4 linked regions of the Saccharomyces cerevisiae S288C genome follow. Changing the gene in region 2 together with the main gene of any one other region gives a genetic interaction. Each region holds a gene or a part of one and is shown on either strand. Other genes may lie near its edges. The genes, in order: COX23, YKR041W, PMP3 and WHI2.

Region 1 (2,954 bases), on a different chromosome or scaffold from region 2:
GGCCCTGCACCAGAAGTACCACCACCAAGAAGGAGTACACTACCTGTTAGGACGATGGAGGCCATATATGCCTACGAAGCACAGGGAGATGATGAGATTTCAATTGATCCGGGGGACATAATTACTGTTATCAGAGGCGATGACGGTAGCGGGTGGACATATGGTGAATGTGACGGATTGAAAGGTCTATTTCCTACAAGTTACTGTAAATGAACGAAGGAATGAACTGAAACTATTAAATATTTTCCCTGGCCGCCACTTTTTTGAGAGGTATGACGACTCTATGTTATATATATATATATATATATATATATATATAGCACAAAATTTCATGTGATCAATCTACTAGGCGAACACCTAAATTGTTATTTATTTCCATGTCTATATCCATTTCAATGTCTGGCTCATCTTCGTCCTCGTTTTCGAATTCGGATTCAGATTCGGATTCCAAGGTAGTCTCCAAATCACAGTTTGTCCTACAGTTCGGACACATGAATTGAGGATAATTCATAATAACCAATCTTCTTACACAATGAAAATGCCAACTATGGGCACATGGTGATATAAAAATGGCTTGGCAAGGTTTTATTTTGTTTAGACAAATGGAACAGTCTTCTTGTTCTAAACCAGTAGTTAGTTTCTGTAGATTTTTTATTCGGCTCAAGGCTTCTTTATTAAATGCATTGGCCTTTAATTTCCAAGACTTGTTCAATTCTATTTTCATCTTAACACAACGATATATCTCTTCCGTCCCGCCGCGAAAGTCCATACCCAGCTGTATGATATCTCCGTCATGTAAAAGGTAGTCCTTAGAAGTGGTAGACGCAGAAGATAGACGCTGGTGGTTCAAAAAGGTCCCACTGGAAGACTTGACATCTTTCAAAAACCAGTTTCCTTGGTCATCAACTTTGAAACACCCATGGGTCCTGGATATCACTTTTGATTTGAACACTACGGGATGATACTGATCTGGAATTTTGGAAATTGCCTCTCTTACTCTTTCGGTGTATCTTCCGATGATAATTTGCGAGCCTGCGCCCGCAGTCCTGATAATGGGGTCAAAGAAAAGACCCTGGTTAGCCACAGACGTGGATGAAGTATCTATAAACGGGGTTAGCCTAATGCTGAAAAGCCCGTGCTTGTCCATTCTGCGTTTCAAAGTAGATTGGTCTATCCGTTCCGGTAGCGAGGTATTTGGTGGGAGATGTATATCAAGTGAAAACTCCGTCTGATTGACTTGGTTTGGAGGATATATGAAATGGCGGATACTCTTTGTAGTGTTCACCGCGGGGGCTGTATTCGTCTCCACAGTGGCAGCAGCAGCAGCAGTAGCACCAACATTGCCGTTTGCGCTACCGTTATTTGCAACGACTAAAGAAGTAGCCGTACGCGAGGGCAAAATACCTAAACCATTGCTAACGCTATTATTATTGCTGTTATTGTTAGGCGTATCGTTAATGGTGAGAGAGATGGATATCGGTAGTCTGATGGGATTGTTGAACTTGGTGTGATCGTGAGAGGTAGCGATGCCAGAAGCAGCAGGTGGCGTCTGGTTTGGGGGAGATGAGGGAACAGTATTAGTAGACATCCAGGAATAACCACTATACAGAACGTATGTGCACAGGAAATCGACACTGTAAGAAGAAAAGCTCACGGCACAAGAGTCAGAAACAGGGCAGTGAACAAAGAACGAGAAGTACGGTTTACAGTTGAGCCGTACACCGAGTTCCTCTTTGAATAATATCGAACCTATACACTAATGCACTAATGTGTTTCTGTTCACACCCAGAATTCTAAGGCTCCTGCTGATCCCAATGCTAAGGTTTATCAATTTTCTCATTCTCTTTGTGGGCCGTAAACAGTGATATTCTCTCACGAGAGCGCTTAAAGAGAATGGAGAAGCCCAGCCCCACCAGGCGGCAAACTAGTAGTCTCTCCACTATCTCCAACGGTATGACCATGACCAACGATAATAGGGATACCACAAATACCAACAGTGGCTCTACAAGCAGCAACAATTCACAACCATCTTCGTCTTCCACGCCACCAGCGGCCAGTGGACCCGTAACGGACAGAACCAAAGTCAACTATGTACCAAAGAGCGACGATCCGTCGTCATTTCAATACTACCCAGACGACCCGGAGAACCCGGTCAATAAGTATAAATTCGCGTTAAAGGCTGACAGTCAGTACTATGATCCTTGTGAGGAGTCCTCCAAGCTCAGTTTTCAGTGCCTCGAGCGCAACGATTACGACCGATCCAAGTGCCAAGAATATTTTGACGCATACCGCGAATGCAAGAAACAATGGCTGACAGCCAGGAGGAAAAACAGACAGCAGTGGGAATGAGGCAGCCTTTTCTTCTTGTTTGTTCAGCTGTGATCTGTTTTCTATATAGATCGCCACTACGCGACGTAGTGTTCCGACAGGCAGCCACAGCACACTCTAGTGCAATGTGAAAAACTAATTCGCAATGGTATGTAAATAAGCAAGCTAAATTGGATTTTCAAAGTGCGAATAAAGAATTTTTTGTATATATCTCTACATACTTGTATATACCGAACATAAGAAGCTCTTATGGCCGAAAACTCCCTCCTGAGGTTTATCACCAAGAACAAAGTGGCCATCCTAGCAACGGTCTCTGCGGGGACTGCTGCTGTGGGTGCTTATGTTTACTACCAGCAAATTAAGCAGCAGCAACAGCAGCAATTGAAGGGTACAAAAGACAACCGACGTCAAAGTGAGGCCTTTGCTGGTCAAAATGAAGACGAGGCGGACTTAAAGGACGACGGCAGCGTCGTAAGTGGAAGTAATAAGAGGAAGAAGAAGAAGAATAAACGCAAGAGGAACAATAAGGCAAAATCGGGAGAAGGGTTTGACTATCCCTCCTTGCCCAATGGCGAGCCTGATATTGCCCAATTGAAAGGCCTATCACCCTCCCAGAGACAAGCGTA
Region 2 (2,894 bases):
AAAAATGAATGAATGAATAAAAAATAAACGAAGTTTAAGGAATGAATACACTGGAAATTGTGTGGTCGTACTTTTTTTTTTTTCTTCTTAGTTACCGATGAAAGGAGCGTAAATTGCGGTTTAAAATCTTTGCTGAGCTTTGATCTGGGAGACGCCGAGGTCTCGAGAAGGAAACACATTAGATGGTATTCACTTATATACCCGAATCAGGAGAAACAAAGGCGAAAAAAAGGAAAAATTTTGTTTTGTCTGCTTTTTTCTTTTTCCGCACGACCCGGGCCGGGCCGTGCAGAAAGACCTACTTGCCCAAAAGCGGCAAAACGTCAACACCACCTCTACATTTCTTTTTATGGACTCATTAGGTTTCCCGATCTGGAAAAGAAAGGGCTTTTCCAGTGCCGCGGCCTCGAGATCCAGGCACCAGGAACTAGGCACGCTGTGTATTCTAACACATTGAAGGGCCTAGGCCCGCTGACGTGGGGTCTAGTTCCACTTTTTCATTACCTTTTCTCGGTCTTTTCTTGCTCCCACAGGCCGTTAATGGCCTGAAACAGTTTTGTGACTTTGGACTTATGATAACGATGTTTGTCCGGGTGCCACCGGATTCTATCGCGGCGAATCAAGTCTAGTCTGTTTGCATCCATCAAGGCACTGCTCATTGTGTAAAATTGTTCTACGCTTTTGTCATCAATCATATCTAAACTCACAGCCGCTAGGGTAGGTGTGCCTGGCAGTGGTAAGGTAGCCGGCTCGTCTTTGGTCATGCGCCAATACTGTCGAACGGCCCGCGCGTAGCGTTCTTCGGCTTCAACCTTAGAGCTGATACCTTTTGCCTGGTCAAAGGCGAAAACGTCTACCTCGCTTTCACTGCTGCTTTCGCTTTCATGACTTCGTTTCAAGCGGTCTCTTTCGCTCTCGGTTGTAACACACTTGTAGCCTGCTATGCTTTCACCGTACTCGAAAAGCGTAGCCTCATGACTAGTTGTACCAACGCCCTTTCTTTTCTTTTTTTTCTCTTGACACTTCGGCGTATTCATCGCCACTGGTACAAGCCGTATGGTGCTTTTTTGCTCATTTTCGTTTTGACGTTGCGATGGTTTCGCGGACCAATCGCATGGGTGGTGGTGGATGTTGTCTTTGCTAGTTGCAACGTAGTCTTCTTCTCTCCTGCGCTTTCTGACGAAAATTGGCCTTACGTATCTTTTTTCGGCGTCGTTGTCGTCATCGCTGTTCATATAATCGTCGTCACTCATATCGGCGCTTTTACTGCATGCTGTCTTTTGAAGAGAGTTTCATTGAAAAGTAGTGAAGAAAAAAAAAAAAAAAAAAAAAAAAAAAAGGAAAAAAGCTTACATACGGAAAGAGAAAAAAAAAAAAAGAAATTTTAAAATGGACGAGTCCGGAATCGAACCGGAGACCTCTCCCATGCTAAGGGAGCGCGCTACCGACTACGCCACACGCCCATAGTAGATATATTTTCTGATGTCCTAGGAATTGGATCATATATTTTTACAAGAATGTGATGTATCAAACAAGCTTGGAGTGGAGTATTCATGATATAATTACCGTTCTCAACCCGCTAAGTCCCAAATACTATCTTTGTGTTGGCTGTTCAATCTCCGGAATTTGTGCATTTGCAATCAATGACAGGGCTTATATCAAGATCTGTTGGAATAAAAATCCACTATCGTCTATCAACTAATAGTTATATTATCAATATATTATCATATACGGTGTTAAGATGATGACATAAGTTATGAGAAGCTGTCATCGAAGTTAGAGGAAGCTGAAGTGCAAGGATTGATAATGTAATAGGATAATGAAACATATAAAACGGAATGAGGAATAATCGTAATATTAGTATGTAGAAATATAGATTCCATTTTGAGGATTCCTATATCCTTGAGGAGAACTTCTAGTATATTCTGTATACCTAATATTATAGCCTTTATCAACAATGGAATCCCAACAATTATCTCAACATTCCCCCATTTCTCAAGATCATAAGAGGGGATTTCCTTATGAGGAAAAGAGCGGAGCCGCAGTGAAAGTTAATAACGATTTAACTTTTTTTGTCTCAATTACGTTTTAAATGTCATTTATAGTAGGAAAATGTTTAACAAGCAGTGAAACTGCAAAGTTTAGTTATCGGAGTGGCGGAAAAAAAAAGGAACTCCGAATCCCCAAAGTTCAATAAGGAAATGGGGAGTAAGGAGGCTGAATTAGTTTGAAACAAAACTGCTACCAGCGGATTTAATCGGAATCAATTAAAATATCAAACAAAATGCGGGGAAATCATATTGATTGATTGAAGCTCACACAGATTAGTTTTCATCTCGCTGTCTACTAAAAGATTTATTTTTACATTTCCTAGAAAAACATAAATAAAATAACAAAAAGTAAAAAAATAGAAATACCTTACTTTCTTTCATAGTATAATTTATCTTATTAGTGCACGGAAATATACAATTTTTGACTATAAACATTTCCCTTTTTTCTTTAGATTAATGACGAGAAAATAAATATATTTATTATGATTATCTAAAAAATAAAGTCTTTTTTTGTCGTTGTTCGATTCATTAACACCAGAAATTCCAGATTCTATACCATCTTGGCTTTGTGGCCATAATTGCCTTTTCTTCTGCAATTTCTTGTTTCAACAAATCTAAATCGACTTCTCTTCTACCCGTATCAATGTCCATCTTTTCTGCTGGGATGAAAAGCTTCCAATTCCTCTTATAGATCTTGTGTCCGATGTACATAACCATAACAAGTGGGAAGGATAGATAAGCTTCGAAGAAACCTTCCGCACTTGGAGAATCTCCCACGGGGAATACAGCAACGTAGAATTGGGCAATGAACATAATAATAACCATAAATAACCCCCAGTAGGA
Region 3 (2,300 bases), on a different chromosome or scaffold from region 2:
TTGTGAGCAGAAAGCTGCTTAAATTGATAATCAAGGTCAAGGCAACGCAACGCCACTGCTAAGAACACTTATTGCTACAGAAAGGAAACTAAAAATAATTATAAGGCTAGAGAGAAATAAAAACAAAATAAGAGAGATAATATGGGTAAGGGTCTGCCACCCATCTGATAAAAGGCTGTTCTATCTTTTGGAACTCTACAACACAGGTAAACGGATGATACTGGCTATATTTATATAGATAAACAAACTTGCAGGACAGATAGTTAAGCGTCTATATCATGTGTATTTTAAGCGAAGAAAAAAGTACAAAAATGATAAAAGGCAAAAAAGATGAGAAGTTTTTTTTGTGATAAAATTAATTATTAAAAAATACACACGTAGTTAAAATTAACAGCGGGGGAGGAAACCTTAAGAGAAAGAGAAACAAAAAAAAAGAAAGGAAACAAATAAAAATGAGGGTGACCCGAACATGTTGATACCGTTTCCTAATACTGCTTCCTTATTTCATTTGATAGTTACTTTCGTTTATTGAATGAGCTTAATCTTGTAGGACAATGTACAAGGCATATAGCATACCTGGGAACCAAGCCAAAATGGTCAAAATGATATCCACTATACAGTCAGTACCCCACCCACGGGCTAGAAAAACGGCGACTGGTGGTAAGAAAAGGGATAATATAATGTTAATGATCTTGGCAGAATCCATTGTTGTATTGTGCTGTGCTGTTTAGTTCAAAATGTATAATCAATTGTATTATACTGGCGAAAAACAACAACCGATAGTAAATTTTCTTCTTTTTTTCCTTTCCCTCTTCCAAAACAAAAACACTCACTTCCTCTTTTGTATTTATAGAGGCGCCCATCGCAAAATAACCAGGACCCCCTTTTGAGGGCGTGGTTAAAGGGCACCCAGAGCCCACACCCATTGCATCTTCCGCTATTAGGGGACTGCGGAAGTGAGGGGAGCAGTAAATAGTGATCTTTGTAATTTTCTGCAAAATCCCTCTCGCTGTCTCGGGTTTTTCGATTCAGAGGACCTTCCCCCCCCCATGTTCCGAGATCGGTTTTGGTGGTTAGAAGGCCGGAGGAAAGACATTTACCGCTTGCGCGCGGCTTCTTCTGTATGCTGTGCTCAACTACCAAGAGAAGGATTACGCGCACGGATACGTTGGATGTCTGCGATTGGTGATGCTAAGAACTAAAGGTATTTCGTCATCGTATGGTTTGATCTTCGCTACCCTTGACTCTTTACTGCGATAACGGTACCACGTTCCCATAAAATTCTTATTACTAAATCTCTATAAAGCTGCAACAGCTAGTTTGTATATATAAATCATTGGCGCTTCTTCCTCAATTCCTTGGGAATTTGGAGCTCCTCTATTAAAACTGATGTCCATGGGATAGTATTGATACAATCGAAGAGTCTCCAAAAAAACCATCGGGAAGGTTTCTTTTTAGTATCTTCAGGATACTGAATCCGGCTGCCAATCCAATCCTAATCTTTGGTAAACTTGTGCCTGACATTGCGACCATATCGTAGCCTTTTCTTCTTTAGATAAGCTGACTTTGTTTTTTCCCTGTTGATTTGTTGCGGCGCTTGATCTCATCATCAATTCATCAAGGTTATTATTGGGGTTTTTCAACTGAATGTTCTTCAATAAAGCCTTTTTCAGAAGCGATTTTGTTTCTGTGCTGTTTTTCCGCGGTATTATGCTTGGTGGGGGCATGTCCGGTCTTTTTAAGTTGGACTGTTGTAACTTCCATTTCTTATATTCGGAGCATCTTTGTTTGAAATCAAACCTGCATTGTGCCTCTACTGCTATATTTAAGAGGTAATTTTCGATGATATTTCTCCATTCCGGTTTCGACAAATTCATGACGGCTTCATTTCTACCAGTTATATGCTCATGTCTTTTTCTAGCGGTCGCTACTGTATATTTGGCGCTGGTTAGTTTGAATTCATAATCTAAGTTAGCCTCCATGTACAGATCCGAATGGACTAACGTTGCGATTATGGTCTCATCGCTAGAATATAGTGGTAATAATTGTAACCTAAACTGGGGCATATTATCACCCACCGTTATTACTTCCGGTAGTTGATTACCCCATTCGGGCCTTAACTTCTCGACTATCAATAACGATCTTATATCGTTTAAATCCCAATCCAATAACTCTCTCTTGGTAAACTTGGGACGCCCGTTACAGAGAATGTTGGATGGGTCTGCTAATAGAATATCTGGCGAATACATGTCATAAAACGTTTTGGGTAATGCTTCATCCAGGCTCACTCTCGTGATTAA
Region 4 (3,913 bases), on a different chromosome or scaffold from region 2:
GTAATAATGGGTTACCAAAAGTTTTTTATAAGAATATTTAGCTTTACCAGACTAGTATACATCAACAGACAATCACACTCCCTTAAGATGTTTTTCAACAGCAAATTAAAAGGAGACCCTGATTCTTAATAATACAGATATACGGTGTATAATGATGTTGCAGACTCGTGATCACAGTTTACTGAAATTAAGAAAAAATGACGAACTAACGAAATCCAGACGTGAGTCAGAATAATTATAACAATAAAAAAAAAAAAAAATTTCTATTGTTTTATACCGGATCAATGCTGCTTTTGAGTGATATTTTTCGAACAATGTACGACTTTATTATGCGGGTAACTTTGAAATAGACAATGGAAAAACCGTTATTTGCAGAAGGGGATGGGAAGATACGAAGAGAAATATCTAGCAGTCTTCGACGCCACCTTTTTTCCTTCTTCATGTGCTTTGAGACAGTTCATATAATTTTGTTATAGAGATACAAATATACATCATTTCGTAACAAGGGAGGAATAGAAAGAGGGGATACCAAGAAACCATACTGTTACATATTGTGTCTTTGGCCCGATCTCTTTCCATTTCTTTCTCTAATATATTATATACACTCACTGCACCCCAATAACGCTCAACTCTAAAGTCCAAACTCTACGAATATGTAATCGGACGGGTACAATGATTTTATGTAGTTCTGCTTCAGGATCAACGTTTGTTGGCAAGATCAATTCAATGATTTTCTTTGATTCATCTTTCCAAGAGCCGAAGACTTCCACTTCTAGCTCTATGTCTTCTTCACCCCACCAACATTTACGAGCAGGTTTTCTCCAAAATAATAGTAGCTTAGCGTTGATATTAGGTTTTGGCACTAGATCATACAATTTGGGCAACTCCGGAGGTTTACTTCTGGTCTGCGAACTATGTCTCGAGGAAGAGTGCGAACGAACGTTATCTGCTAGTTTCGACAGCCTTGATTTTCTCTTATCACGTGCTGTAGCAGGTGCTGTACTTCCGCTTGTTAAATTCCTTGCTGTAGAAATGGTACTGTTAGATTTACTTGCAGATAAAGAGTTAATCGATATGTTAGATTGCATTGGGGTGATGAAGTTGTCTTGAGAAGGTTTGTGCTCTGCCTCCCACTTAGCCTTAGCCTCGTTAAATTTTTGCCTAAATCCTTCAGTTGTCTCGTTAGCCAATCGGCAAAGAGACAGTGAACTTATAACCGTTTTGCCAGTTTCTTGAGTTCTGTTACCCCAACAAGTTTCCTTGGTGAATCCGGAGGAGCACAACATATCCATTAAATGTTGTTCAGCAGGTCCCAATTTTTTCGAAGTAGATTTAGTATTTGAAGAAGAATTGGACCCCTTTTCAATTTTCTGTTGTTGCTGTTGTTGCTTTAGTCTATTCGAAGAATACAAACCTTGGAAAATCGATGTTTTTGAAGTTAAATAACTGCCAGCAGCCATTTTCACTTGAGCCATAAAATGTCGCAATAAATCCTCATTATTTTCTTCATTAGTGGAATCAAACTGAAATTCCTCCTGAGGTACACAATAATAATCCAAGTCTTCTCTCAAAACAATAATAGCGGGCTTTTGATGTAAAATATCCTGCTCATTGTTGCTCGAAATTGAATTATTGCTACTCAGTCCAAAAAATCCCTTTGCATTCGAAACAAAGCTACTTGATGGTCTGTCAAAAAATTTCTCCACAGGATGATTATACAAATCATCATGCGCTTTTGTATATATCTCCATGATGTACTCAAAACAATCAGGAGGGAAATTAACAATGTAGACCTCATCGTCTCTGGTCAAATTAGTAATGACCTGACCACAACGGTCCAAAAAAACACCTGAGGGAAATAAACACAGTAATAGGGATTCAGGTAGAGACATCAACTGGTCCCTCGTAATGAAATAATGGTTTTCTTGAATATTCAAATGAATCAATGAATCACCATAATCCTCCTCGTTACCTTCGTACTGTGAGTTCTGTTGCTGTTGCTGTTCTTGTAGAATCGGAGCGGACTCTGCATTATCTGGAGAAACTTGCGTGATTATATCGTCCATTGTTTATAATAAGTGTAAGCTCAGACAACCTTTATCTTTATCAATTAATGGGGAGGCGGGAAAATTAATAGCCTAAGTGTGAAGGAGTTGTCTTCTTGCGCTTTCTGTTCTTTTCCGAATAAAAAAACAATTAAATTATCACTGGAGAAAATGCTTCTCAATTAAAAAAATCACTAAATAACGTTGTTTCTCTTTTCCCTTATTTTTAATGGGATAAACGTTCTAACAAAACTTTTTTTGTCTTCTAAATTTGGATCCTTATCTTCTTATGACCTTTGGGGGGAGAAAAGAAAAAAATGACTCTAAACTGACGCCGAGTTAGAGACTCTCTCACACTCTATCACTATGCCTATGCTGTAAACTTAAAACAACGATAGACCGTTTTTTGTCTTACTTTCCTCCTTAGTAATTATTACTCTAGAGCATAAGAAATTGGCCATTGAACATGGCCCGTTCTGACTAAAATCTTCTCTTCCTGATAAAATTTGCTTTTTTTATTTTGAATTGCCCTCCTTCGGGTCGTTTGGAAAAAACACCCAAACACCTCTTACATACAAGATTTGCAACGTTTTGATAAGTAAGTACATTATGCAGAGGTTATGTTTTTTCTTGACCGTCAAAACACTGTTCATGCATGCTAGCGCTGTCGATATAAAATCGGGATTTTCATACACCCATCAGGTTGGTTGAATTCTTTCTTTAACTCTTACTCATCTTTCTTTATTTTCCGGATATAGCACGTAACCTATCATTTTTTTTTCTTAAGGTTGCCTTTGCCGTTCTTCGCACTATAAAAAAGCACGCTTATGAAAATTTTTAATTACTTGACTTTTTAAATCTGTCATTGAAATTTAGATGATATGCAAAACACATTACGAAAATGTCAATTGGAGTTTTAAAGAACTCATGTTGCTGTTACAATACGTAGAATGGTCAGAAGTGTGCTGATGCATATACTTTGAAGTGTCAAAGTGTCTGAACGGGTGCCGTAAAAGACCTATTCTTTTTTATGATGAATTTATGTTTTCAATCTTATCTACATTATCTGAATTAATAGCTAACAATAGTTATAATGGAAGATATACGACTATCAACAATTCTGAAAATTTTTTCTTACTTCCTTCAAGAAGGTAGTGAGTTCTTCACAAGCGCGTAAAATAAGATGCGTCCAAATATTGGCACGTATACACATGTACGTAGATATCAGCTTTACATCTCGTCGTCACTATTGATTAAGAATTCATCCTCATCCGGATTTTTCTTATTTCTAGAAACAGCGTTTACTTTAGTTGGTGTAGTATCCAGGGGTTCCGGTGGTAGCGGCTGCCATTTCTTCTTCGTTTCTGTATCTGGAGTATCAATGTAGGTTGTCTCTGCCACTACTTTTCCAGTCGACTCACCAGATTTTGTTCTCGTTGGTAACTGAGGTGGCACATCTTCATCATCTTCAAATCCATCTTCGTTGTGTAGTGTGATTCCGTGGCTTTCTAAAGAGTCATCACCGACTTGAACGCCAAACGAATTGAATCTTCTTCTCTCAGGTTGCTGGGGTCTTGAATTTTTCCCGCCTTGTGACAAATCCACAATCTCTGGCTCCCATTCTTGCTGATCTTGGTGACCATGTTGGTTGTCGTTTTGCTCATTACCTGACGCAAAGTTTCTCCGGTAAGCATCACTTATCCAGTTACTAACTTTGTTTGCTGTGTCCTGTAATGACCGACCGGCTCTGTCCGTAAGCTCTGGCAGGTCCTTTTCTACAAATTGCGACCACGAATCTTCTTCCTCACTGTCTTCGTGATGTTGCTCCCTTTCGTTCGGATTATGACGTCTTCTGCGCTGTTCATGCA

What was found.
Region 1: mutations in YKR041W (region 2) and COX23 together harm fitness more than expected from each alone (negative genetic interaction), as found in Saccharomyces cerevisiae (2 studies listed by BioGRID).
Region 3: mutations in YKR041W (region 2) and PMP3 together harm fitness more than expected from each alone (negative genetic interaction), as found in Saccharomyces cerevisiae (2 studies listed by BioGRID).
Region 4: mutations in YKR041W (region 2) and WHI2 together harm fitness more than expected from each alone (negative genetic interaction), as found in Saccharomyces cerevisiae (2 studies listed by BioGRID).

The regions. Positions count from the first base shown.
Region 1 is NC_001140.6:339,772-342,725, forward strand, and holds COX23 (Cox23p), read left to right. Parts: upstream 1-1,893; coding exon 1,894-2,349; downstream 2,350-2,954. Other genes in the region: BZZ1 (Bzz1p), read left to right, coding at 1-213; ubiquitin-conjugating protein DMA1, read right to left, coding at 338-1,588; protein channel TOM71, read left to right, coding at 2,578-2,954. UniProt on the Saccharomyces cerevisiae protein: Required for the assembly of cytochrome c oxidase.
Region 2 is NC_001143.9:516,557-519,450, reverse strand, and holds YKR041W (uncharacterized protein), read right to left. Parts: upstream 1,254-2,894; coding exon 501-1,253; downstream 1-500. Other genes in the region: amino acid permease GAP1, read right to left, coding at 2,580-2,894.
Region 3 is NC_001136.10:1,012,938-1,015,237, forward strand, and holds PMP3 (Pmp3p), read right to left. Parts: upstream 707-2,300; coding exon 539-706; downstream 1-538. Other genes in the region: triglyceride-associated lipolysis regulator TLD1, read left to right, coding at 1-22; MTH1 (Mth1p), read right to left, coding at 1,464-2,300. UniProt on the Saccharomyces cerevisiae protein: Plays a role in the regulation of membrane potential. Could mediate a proton leak.
Region 4 is NC_001147.6:409,023-412,935, reverse strand, and holds WHI2 (Whi2p), read right to left. Parts: upstream 2,067-3,913; coding exon 606-2,066; downstream 1-605. Other genes in the region: ubiquitin-binding protein CUE5, read right to left, coding at 3,276-3,913. UniProt on the Saccharomyces cerevisiae protein: Plays a role in the coordination of growth and proliferation. Required for entry into G0 phase under conditions of carbon limitation.